Arabidopsis thaliana: one gene and its partners. Each later gene encodes a partner of the first gene's protein in a complex. Each region holds a gene or a part of one and is shown in the gene's direction. Other genes may lie near its edges. The genes, in order: RPL27, PSRP6 and RPL21C.

Region 1 (3,666 bases):
AGAGTTGGTGAGTATCAGAAAGCTTCTGTTATGTCTAGTGTTCATGGAAACGCTGCGTTTAATGATGATCATGTCTTCAAGCTTGACGAGGATTTTTAGATTTTGCTTACTTGCTTTATTTTTAGTTTTGTAATTTTCAGTATAATGAAAAACAGATGAAGTTTAATTTGATAATGGACATTTAATTTCTTAATTATTTAACATAGTTTTTACATGGTTAACATATAACTAATCCGGATCCTAGTAATTACATGGGTCTACCCAAATCCAAAAAGGATTGGAGCCAATGACTTTGCTATATATTTCGTTCTTAAGAACATTGCTAGGTTTCTAGCTATATTGGTTTTGCCTCTTTATTGGCAGAGGGAGCACAAAGAGAATCCTCCCCTTTCGACATAAAAATGTTATTTTCTCATGGTCTTTTGGATGATTAGCAAGACTTACTCTTAAGTTTTTGCATAAGTATCTTACATCACTTTCTAACTCAACCTTCGAAATATGCATTTGTTTCAAACAATCCAGTGTTCATTTCCAAGTAGGTGTAGTGACTTATGATAAGAAAGCATGTCGATTATGGTAAAAATATTTTAGTGGCTGTTCACAATAATTCTATGAGAGAGAATCATTAGTAGGCAAATTGAATAGGAAACAGACATGATATCAAATTCTTTTGAAGGCAGAAAGAAATGAAAATATAGAAAACATAACTAAAAGAGAATAAACAACCAATTACCATTTACCGTTCCAAAGACCTTCATCGTCGAATTTCAAGAACAATGAAGGTCTTTGAAAGATACTTTTGTCAATAAATATGAAAACCATAAACAATTAGTAGAGATGAGAGATCACTATAACTCTCCTATGACTTTCCATCCAATCAAAAAGAAAAGTTTGTGTCCATGTCTCTATAACTCTATCCAACTTCTTTAAGATAAGATCATTTTCTCGCTTATTACACCAAGTATACAGCGGACCATGGGATGATAGGTCTCAAACAAAGCAATAGTTTACCACTGATTGAAAGTCTCTCATTCCATTGGTATAATAGGGTTGTCTTCAGCTCTAGAATGCTCCACAAGTTCTAAAATCTCATTAAAATCTCCAAACATTATTTAAGGCTTGCTACTAATGACAGGAGAGTCATAGTGATCTCTCATCTTGTTCATAATACTTTTTTCTCCTCTAACCAACTAGACAGTCTATGAAACTCAAATAATATAATTTTTAATTTTCGGTCAAAACTGTAAAAACATGTCAAAATCAAATAATATTTTTTTTTTGCCAAATCAGAAAATTACATTTTTCCGCCAATGTAAAAATAATTTTTAGAGTGACATTGTCAGTATAAATCCTAATTTATGTTTTAATATTATAGCTAAAGTCTATAATTATTTTTGGCTGCTTCTTGCATATTATTATTCTAAGTTTGGTTTTTGTTTTTATCTGAGAAATTTCTACTATATAATGAATATTTGAAACTGTAGTCTATATATTTAGATTTAATATTTTATACAACAAGTTGATATGGCCGAGTTGGTCTAAGGCGCCAGATTAAGGTTCTGGTCCGAAAGGGCGTGGGTTCAAATCCCACTGTCAACATTCACTTTTTTCTCTTTTTCCATTATTTACTTGCTGACGTGTACTCACCTTATCTTACATTATTTGATGACGTGTAATTTTAGTGGTCACTAATCGAGAGAGTGAGACGAAACGATAAGGAGAAGAACTTCTTCTTCAACCTCAGAAAACCCTAATTTCTCCATTTCGAAACTCCAACGAATTCTCTGGTGATTTTACCAATGGCGATGGCAACATCGATGAGTTTGAATCTAATTGGGGCATTCAAAGGCTTGTCTCTTTCTTCGACTTCGTCTTTTCTTAGAGGCGATTTGAGTTTTTCCCCCAAAACCTCTTTCACGGTGACTCTTCCTCTGGAAAATCTTCAAGCTCCGATTCCGTTGACAATTGAATCGGCCCATAAGAAAGGAGCTGGTAGCACCAAGAACGGTCGTGATTCTCCTGGGCAACGACTCGGCGTCAAGATCTACGGTGACCAAGTTGCTAAACCTGGTGCTATCATTGTTCGTCAACGTGGCACTAAGGTAACACTTAAGAACACAGAATTGTTGAAATTGAGAACCTCTTAAGCTCCTCTTTCAATTCTCTTCTAATTTCACCGCAACTCTGTCAATTTGGTCAGTTTCTTATGGGTTTAGCTCTCAAGCTCTGTTTTCAGATTCCATTCTCGAACACATCTGGGTTTAGGATGAATTTTCGTATTTAGTAGCTCTTGTTTCTGATGCCATTGCCATTTCTCTGGAAGTTCTACGTTATGTTTGTGTTTAGGATGGAACTATATTGTTTGAGAAGATTGATTCATGAATGGTGATGTTTGGTGCAGTTCCATGCTGGGAAAAATGTTGGGATTGGTAAAGATCATACCATCTTCTCTTTAATCGATGGATTAGTCAAGTTCGAGAAGTTTGGTCCTGACAGGAAGAAGGTATACCTGTAGTTATACTGAGTAAGGTTTATAAGCTTTCTTAATCTTCTAGGATGTTAAAGGAAATGAGACTTGTTTTTGCAGATAAGTGTGTATCCAAGAGAAATTGTACCAGAGAATCCCAATAGCTACAGAGCAAGAAAGAGAGAAAACTTCAGATTGCAAAGGGAGAAGAAGAAGGCGAGACGCGAGAATTACTCGTACACACTTCCTACACCAGAACTTGTTCTTGCATCTGCCTCAGTCGATGATGCTGAAGCCAATCCGGAGTGCTAGAAGATTGAATGTGGAGTTTCCTTGTCTCTTTTTGTTTAGTCTTGTTTATGAAAAATGATCCTTTCAGAGTATTAAGAGTTGGTTGTATTGTCGAATCCAAGCCTCTCTTTTGTCAAATTGAGTCCCAAGCAGGCGGATTTTTACCCAACTTGAGTTATTAGTGTAATCAAATGGTTATTGTTAATTAGTCAAAGCCTCAAAGGTTTTAATTTAGTGAATTTCTCTTCCAACTTAGTAATTCTGAATCATTGATAAGAGAGACCACCAAACCTTTGAATGCCCCAATTAGATTTAGTCAAGTATAAATCTAGTTCAAGTGTCTATTTGAGGTTTTTTTATTATAAAAATTATAAAACTTATTTGGATCCCAAAAATGGATCCATTGTTAGTCTAAGAAGCCGAAGACTTTATGGGCCTTCTAGCGAAATAATGGGTTTTAGCCCAATTACTTAGCATTTCGGAATATGTAGATAGTGGTACAAAAAAGAAATTGAATAATATTCATTTTCGTCTATCATTGCATAATTAGTGGAATGAAATTATTATTCTATGTTTTTTTTTTTTCATTTATCTATATCTTGCTCATCTTGAATCCATCAATTTCGCTAACGTTTTACCTGTACCATATTAGATCCTTTGTGTTATCTTTAGGCCATATTTCACCAGCTTGAGGTCAAATACTTATACACATGTATGTAACGATATATATATGTAAGATGACGATATATTATTGAATAACACTAAAGGCCTAGAGCAAAAATAGTAATTGATGAGAAGTTTTAAATTCTAGGAGCAGTAATTAAGAAGAAGAACAAAGACAAATCCTAAAACAAAGCATATCAGTAGTAAAACCTTGTAGCACAAAGCAGAGAGGCACATACATGAGT
Region 2 (3,534 bases), about 11 Mb from region 1:
AAATACGTTATAAGTCTTTATTCCAATATTCATGACAAGTAGTTATTCCTTTTGTATTCTTAGGAGTTATGTCATTTACTCTATATTGACACAACGTTACTTTGTAGTCAGATAAATATTTATGCAACGTAACCGATATTTCTATTGAAAACTGTTAACATTTTTTAACATGAAATTATTATACATTTCTATTAAATAATAATCGATCGTTTTTCATAAAGGAAAAGCTTGTTTTACGTATCTTTTAAAATTTTCTAGATAATATATAAATATTTCCGACCAAGATCAATTTCCTTTAATTAAGGTCCGAAATAAAAATATTGATAAACAAAAAAAGTATCCAAAAGATTCCTGGTATATTCATTTAGCTGGCATGGCTAGTGCAGTACAAAATACAAACTCTAATTCCAAGAAAACAAAATAACGCAATAATGCAAAGTGCAAACGGACGAGAGCAATCGATTCATATATGGTTCTCTTCTCGATGTAATGCAATCACATGACTAAAACTGGCTCAAATTAGGCCTTTATACAAGACACTTACCTGTAAATAGACTAATATTTGTTTATATAAAACCATCAAATAATATTGTAAACAAATATATATATATATATGTATGTATGTGTTATATATATGTATGTATGTGTTATATCGTGTATAACTATTTAATTTGTTTAATTCACTTGTTCGATTGTATCTTCTTCTTAAACTTAAATCATCTTTTGGTTATATGTGTGTGTCTAATAACTATGTAATCTTTCTTTCAATTCTAATAAAATAAAACAAGATGTTAAAAAAAAAAAAACTATTTAACTATCCATGGTTGATGACTCGTACTTAAGACAAATAATCAAATTTCGTGATTCTAAAAATGAATGAAATTGATTGATATATAAGTGGGATTAGAAAAAAAAGAGTCAGATAAGTGTTATCTCGCGGTTATAATTTCAACGGTGCTAAGATAAGGATAAGGTTTGCGAAACTATATACTAATGCAACAATGGGTACCGTAGGTTTGTGATACCTAATTTGATCTAACCAACAGAATCTCTTCGTACTAGTGTAATCGAGTGGCTGAGCTGTTGATATAGAGATACGTAGTACTATTATTGTAAATAAAGAACCCAAAGAATCAAATTTGTCGACAACAAAATAAGGGGTGATAATCCGATGCACGTGGATTTGGTGAATGTATTGGATAATGCTAGTCACGTAGAAGAAAGTAATCTTATTTTGGGCCATAATTTTAGTAAATGTTTTTGAGTCTACGTAAAGAAGAGTAATTTTCATGGCAATCGCAATTTTCGCTGACAATTGATTATTTTGATATAATGTGAAATTGGTTAGGTTGGTGATAGTAGCTAGTTTGAAGCCTAACTTAGGCTTGTTATTGAGGTATAATACATTATTAACCATAAGTATTAGACAGGTTTTGGACAAATATATTTATTGGTCGCTTTGGCAGCATTGAAAAACCCTAAAAGCCACTAGAATGGATGTCTTCGAATGTCAGTTCACATAAATGTTCGCTAGCTTAATTTTATTTTCTTTTTTAAAAGAGAGGAAGCAATGATAACATAAACATTTTTATAGTGTTTTTTTTGAAACAAAAAGTTAGTTTTCTTCCTCAAATTCGATAACTAAATTACACCATAAATGAGAATATGTTTTTAGTTAAGTAGTTAAATCCATTTGATTCTACCTTTTTTACCAGAGTTTGACTCTACTAAGTCGTGTTACTTCGCATAATAAGGATTGACTATGAATCGTGTCTTGTTTATAAAAAAAAGAAAAAAAAAATTACACAACAAAGTTAAGAAAATTCAAATTTATTAATTTAATAAGCATACTTTGAATATAAATAAATCCTAAAACTCAAACTAATAAAAAAAGTATTTTTTTGTGTAGTATTAAAAGATGCAGAATCCGAAATAATGTATTTTATTGTAGAAGTGATTCAAAAGACCTTATCTCGTAGTCACTTGTAGCATTATTGGTTTAAGGTTAAAGAAAACATTTAAAACTCTGTATACATCATACATGACATCTTTACAAATTGCAAAATATACATTTTTAATCAGCTACTCTATTCTTAAATTCCTTTAATTAACGAGGTTATACAGTTCGATACGTTTAAGCAACAAAAAGTTCGATGCCACTAATAATTTAATTTTTGTTCTCTTCTTATCTTATAGATTGTTGCAGCCTGCAGGCTTGCAGCATAACGAGTTACATAACTATATACAAAGGCCCAATAGACACCTCAAAGGCCCAATAAAAAAGCCCAGGAAAAACGAAAACGAAGATATGAAGTTCTTCTCTAATCCGAAGCAAGAGGCTCAAACTCACTTTCACTTGCACAAAGATAAGGAAACCATGTCTGTGTCAGCGATCTTTGGTACCGGAATCGTCACCGTTGCTGCTTCTCCGGTTCTCCGCCAATTTCAAGTTCCAAAATTGGGTAATGGAGGAGGATTAGGGATGGTGATAGAGTGTTCGTCGAGGCCACAGAAGAAATCGACGGCTCATCACAGGAAGACGAGGCCGAAGAAGACTCAGCCTTGGGACATTAAGAGAAAGCCTACTGTTTACGCTCCTCTTCCTCCTCTTCCGGCGGAATGGAGTCCGTTCACTCTCGCTTCTGACGACGGTGGTGCTGCCACTGCTGCGGGAGATTTGGTTTCAGGCGCTGCCTAGTTGGTATGAGTTATCTGCTGATTTGGTTGTAATCTAGTTTGAGAACTTTTGTTGTTGTTTACTGTGTTTTCAGTTTTCTGATGTTTGTTGTTGGGTTTGTTTGTGTTTGATTGGTGAATGAATGGACCAAATTTGCGATTTATAAAGCTTCAACCTTTCTCCTCTGTTTTTGAGTTTAAAGGTCTCAACTTTATAGTTTATAGCTCTCGTCATTGTCATCTATGTTGCTTCTCTATAATTGCTTTTTTCCTTTTGGGTCTCATTAATTTCTGCAAGTAGTAATTGAATTGGGATGACAAGAGTTTAAGTTTGATATGTGAAAATGAAAGCACAATGGTATCTGTTTTGTGGCGGTTGATGCTGGAGTTGTTGTCAAATGCTCTGTTTGCTGCCATAGCAATGGGAATGTAGCTTCTAAAGAGTACGGTATAGTATACCGCATTATTGGAATTTTAAAATTTCCCTTTAGATTGGATTCAGGTGAAACGGCAATGTGCTCTGCTCACCATAGTGCAACACTTGGTCTAAACACTCTATTGTAGATTTTTAAGCCAAGTGATCTAAAGTGTGTTTGATGAAGAGTTTCAGCAAAAACATTTTTAGAAATGTTTATATCAGTTATGGGTTGATCACTCTGATTCTTGAATCTATCTTGTATCGGTCTAGTCCCAGGAGAAATTTAGAAGATCGATTTATCTTGCATTGCATGTTTATGGAGTCAATTCCAAGATCAACATCAATGGCTATACATTTCATAAAGCACGCATACAGAGTACATCCCGTTGAACCCATTAAACCCTGACACCTTAAAAGCTTAAGTCAAATCATCTGGAGAA
Region 3 (3,758 bases), on another chromosome or scaffold:
CCGTGGCCTACTATCTCAGAAGCTGCTAAAGATTTGATCTATAAAATGCTCGAAAGGAGCCCCAAGAAACGCATTTCTGCTCATGAAGCCTTGTGTATGTTCATTCTTTGTTGTTCATTTGGAATTAGCAACTGTTGTGAATTGTTTTTATGGTAAATAATGAGTATTGAGTTTGCTCTGAATGTTATATAGGTCACCCATGGATTGTCGATGAACAAGCAGCACCAGACAAGCCTCTTGATCCAGCAGTCTTATCTCGTCTAAAGCAGTTTTCTCAAATGAATAAGATTAAGAAAATGGCATTACGGGTATGAATTCGAGTAATATACATTCGCTTTTTCTTTATGTCCAATCCGTATGCTGATTTCTCTGAACACAGGTAATTGCTGAGAGACTTTCAGAGGAAGAAATTGGAGGTCTGAAGGAATTGTTCAAGATGATAGACACAGACAACAGCGGAACGATTACTTTTGAAGAGCTCAAAGCGGGTTTGAAGAGAGTCGGATCTGAACTGATGGAATCAGAAATCAAGTCTCTCATGGATGCGGTATGAAAGAACCAAAACAAACTCTTTCCTCTTTTCAAAAACTTTTGTTTCCGTTTAACATCCTCTGTGTGTTGTGGTCACAGGCTGATATCGACAACAGTGGTACAATAGACTACGGAGAATTCCTAGCAGCAACCTTACACATGAACAAGATGGAGAGAGAGGAGAATCTGGTGGCTGCATTTTCGTACTTTGACAAAGACGGAAGCGGTTATATCACCATCGATGAGCTTCAGTCAGCTTGCACAGAGTTTGGTCTATGTGATACACCTCTGGACGACATGATCAAGGAGATTGATCTTGACAATGTAAACCACTCTTCTTCTTCTTCTCTTTGTTTACCTCCTTCTTCAATGTTACTTTACTATAACCGAGAGCTTTTGAATTATGTAGGACGGGAAGATCGATTTCTCGGAGTTTACAGCAATGATGAGGAAAGGAGATGGAGTTGGGAGAAGCAGAACCATGATGAAGAACTTGAACTTCAACATTGCTGATGCTTTTGGAGTTGATGGTGAAAAATCTGATGACTGACTCATCATTCTTCCACAATTTCTGTTTTTTTTCTCTTTAATTTCGTTTATATTTTGAATTCTAATTTCTAAGGATACAAAAATATATTCTGGCTTGTTTTTTGCTTTCCTTTTTATTTTTGTACATGAGCAACTTTCTAAATTTTTATCCTCATATGGATAATTTTTGCTTCATATAAAAGTTTTTGAATTCCAAAGAAATGTGATTTAGGGATGGCGAAAAGAAACCGAACCGAACCAAAATCGGATTTCATAAGTAATTTTGTTATAATACAAACTGTGAAACTGTAGAAAATTCTTATAACAACCCAAACCAAATCTAAATTCTTATAACAACCCAGACCAAATCTCAAATTGAAACCAAATTTGGTGAATTTGTAATTAACCAATATTCAGAATTAATATAACTAATTAAATATAAAGTACATTTAAATACACTAAACACTATAAAGAGATTAAGAGTAGTTAGAATTATAATTTTTGTCAAAAATCGAACAAAACCAAAATTGATGTGTATATAATATATTACTTAATTGGAAAACCCAAAATCTGAACCGAAATAAACCGGTAAACCGAAATTGCAAGCTTAGAAATTAAACCAATTTGAAGACAGGGGTACAATGGTAATTTTCAAAGGAAGTGGATAGGATAACACTGCGGATTTATTCTCCGTCGAGCTCCAAAGTCTCGAGCTTAGAGCTCTCTCTCAGTCGAAAACAATGGCGTCTTCTTCAGCGACGCTCTCTCTCTGCTCTACTTTCTCTGCTCATTGCAATGTCAATTCTCGCCGTTCTAGCACTATCCTCTGTTCTCTCTCTAAACCTTCGCTTAATTTGGCTAAACCTCTGACTGGATTTCTTTCTCCTTCCACTGCGTCGACGTCTCGAACCGCATTCACCGTCGCTCCGAAATTCGCGGAATCAGTCGTCGAAGCTGAACCGGAGACTACCGATATCGAAGCTGTGGTGGTTTCCGATGTTTCGGAGGTTACTGAGGAAAAAGCTAAACGAGAAGAGATTTTCGCTGTTATTATGGTGAGCTTGTTGAATCATACGAAACAACAAATTCTCAATTTCGGTGTTTAGCTTTTGGAATTCGGAATTAGGTTTGGTTGATTGATGAATTTGATTTTAGAGTTTTGATAATGAGAGACTGTGTTTTTGTGGTATCTACTCTTAAGATTTAGGGTTTAGGTTTAACGAATGTTGACTTCTTAAGGGAGAGATTGTGTTTTTGTGGCATATACTCTTCAAGGTTTAGAGTTTGGCTTTGTTATAATTGATTTTGTTTCTCTCATTTGCAATCTCTGATTTAGCTTAGTGTTGTTCTCTTTGGTTTGAATAGGTTGGTGGACGCCAATACATAGTGTTTCCAGGGAGATATCTCTACACTCAGAGGCTAAAAGATGCAAATGTTGATGACCAGGTATATGCACATTTGCTTTCAATGACTATGTGATGTGTTCTTCTTTGTAAAAAACTCTGTGTACGAAATGGTATATCTGTGAAAAGATGATGTAACTATGGAAGATTGAGTAAACTTTGTGGCTTGTGTAGAAGTTCTATTCTTTTGCCTATGTTAACATTGTGTTAAGCTGTTCTCTGTTGCATTTTTGGTGATTCCTGAAGTTTTCATATTTTGTTTTTTCTCTTGTGCAGATTGTTCTCAACAAAGTGTTGCTTGTTGGAACAAAGACACACACTTACATTGGCAAGCCGGTTGTGACCAATGCCACTGTACATGCTGTTGTGGAAAGTCAAGTAAGTCAATACAAACGATTTCTTAAATTTCTGATTGGTGGTTTTGTATTTTCGACTATGTAGTCGCCTCTAAACTTGGAATAACCGGAATGTCATTTGTTGTTGTAGGGTTTGAATGATAAAGTGGTAGTCTTCAAGTACAAGCCTAAGAAGAAGTACCGTAGAAATATCGGTCACAGACAGGTATTGCTGAAAGTCCTCTTCCTTATATTTGAACTATGTAATGTTACAATCAACAGACTACTATCAGTTACTTGTTGTAATTTGCTATGGCTGATGAAACTGAAATCTCTTTGAAGTAATGACACTTATGTTGTGACTTATGTGTTGATATTGTAGCCGAATACGAGGATTAGGATTACCGGAATCACAGGGTATGAAGAGTATCCAGCCTCGCCCAATGTTGCAGTTGGAGAAGTAAATCTTTGACACAAAATGTTTCTTGAATGTTAAAATTTTTCTGATCTTCTCTATGTAATTTTGTAAGGACCCTGGTCATTTCATTTCTGCTGAGATTCCTTTTATTAATATGTACCTTTTGCCATTCTTTGATCACAAATTCTAAGTTAGTGTATGAAAACTTCAATATAGCTCATCCATCAATCTACGCATACTAATGAATTTTATAGAATAAAACAACTTCTACCACTTCAGTGGACACAATACAGAAATACAGAAATTGATATTGAGATTTTGAAAATGGACGGGACCGTCCATAACATTTTTCCGTCCGCAAAGGCACAAACACATGAAAGACATTATGGTGTTTTTTGATATGTTTTTGACAAAATTTTGATATGTTGTTGCGATTTTCTAGTAAAAGACATTATGTGCACCAATAGTGTGAGATGTATTATGGTGATTTTCTGATGAGGAATTGAGAAATGAGTTTTTTTTATTATATATATGCAAAAGATA

What was found.
Region 2: RPL27 (region 1) and PSRP6 share a complex: the UniProt entries of both Arabidopsis thaliana proteins name them as parts of the 50S ribosomal subunit.
Region 3: RPL27 (region 1) and RPL21C share a complex: the UniProt entries of both Arabidopsis thaliana proteins name them as parts of the 50S ribosomal subunit.

Annotation. Positions count from the first base shown.
Region 1 is NC_003076.8:16,409,067-16,412,732, forward strand, and holds RPL27 (ribosomal protein large subunit 27), read left to right. Parts: upstream 1-1,715; 5' UTR 1,716-1,799; coding exon 1,800-2,102; intron 2,103-2,401; coding exon 2,402-2,503; intron 2,504-2,587; coding exon 2,588-2,779; 3' UTR 2,780-3,048; downstream 3,049-3,666.
Region 2 is NC_003076.8:5,905,440-5,908,973, forward strand, and holds PSRP6 (plastid-specific 50S ribosomal protein 6), read left to right. Parts: upstream 1-2,149; 5' UTR 2,150-2,308; coding exon 2,309-2,698; 3' UTR 2,699-3,025; downstream 3,026-3,534. Other genes in the region: CSA1 (disease resistance protein (TIR-NBS-LRR class)), read right to left, coding at 3,435-3,496.
Region 3 is NC_003070.9:13,206,978-13,210,735, forward strand, and holds RPL21C (Ribosomal protein L21), read left to right. Parts: upstream 1-1,705; 5' UTR 1,706-1,799; coding exon 1,800-2,114; intron 2,115-2,424; coding exon 2,425-2,505; intron 2,506-2,738; coding exon 2,739-2,840; intron 2,841-2,948; coding exon 2,949-3,023; intron 3,024-3,179; coding exon 3,180-3,269; 3' UTR 3,270-3,451; downstream 3,452-3,758. Other genes in the region: CDPK2 (calcium-dependent protein kinase 2), read left to right, coding at 1-94, 193-308, 380-547, 631-855, 941-1,081. UniProt on the Arabidopsis thaliana protein: This protein binds to 23S ribosomal RNA in the presence of protein L20.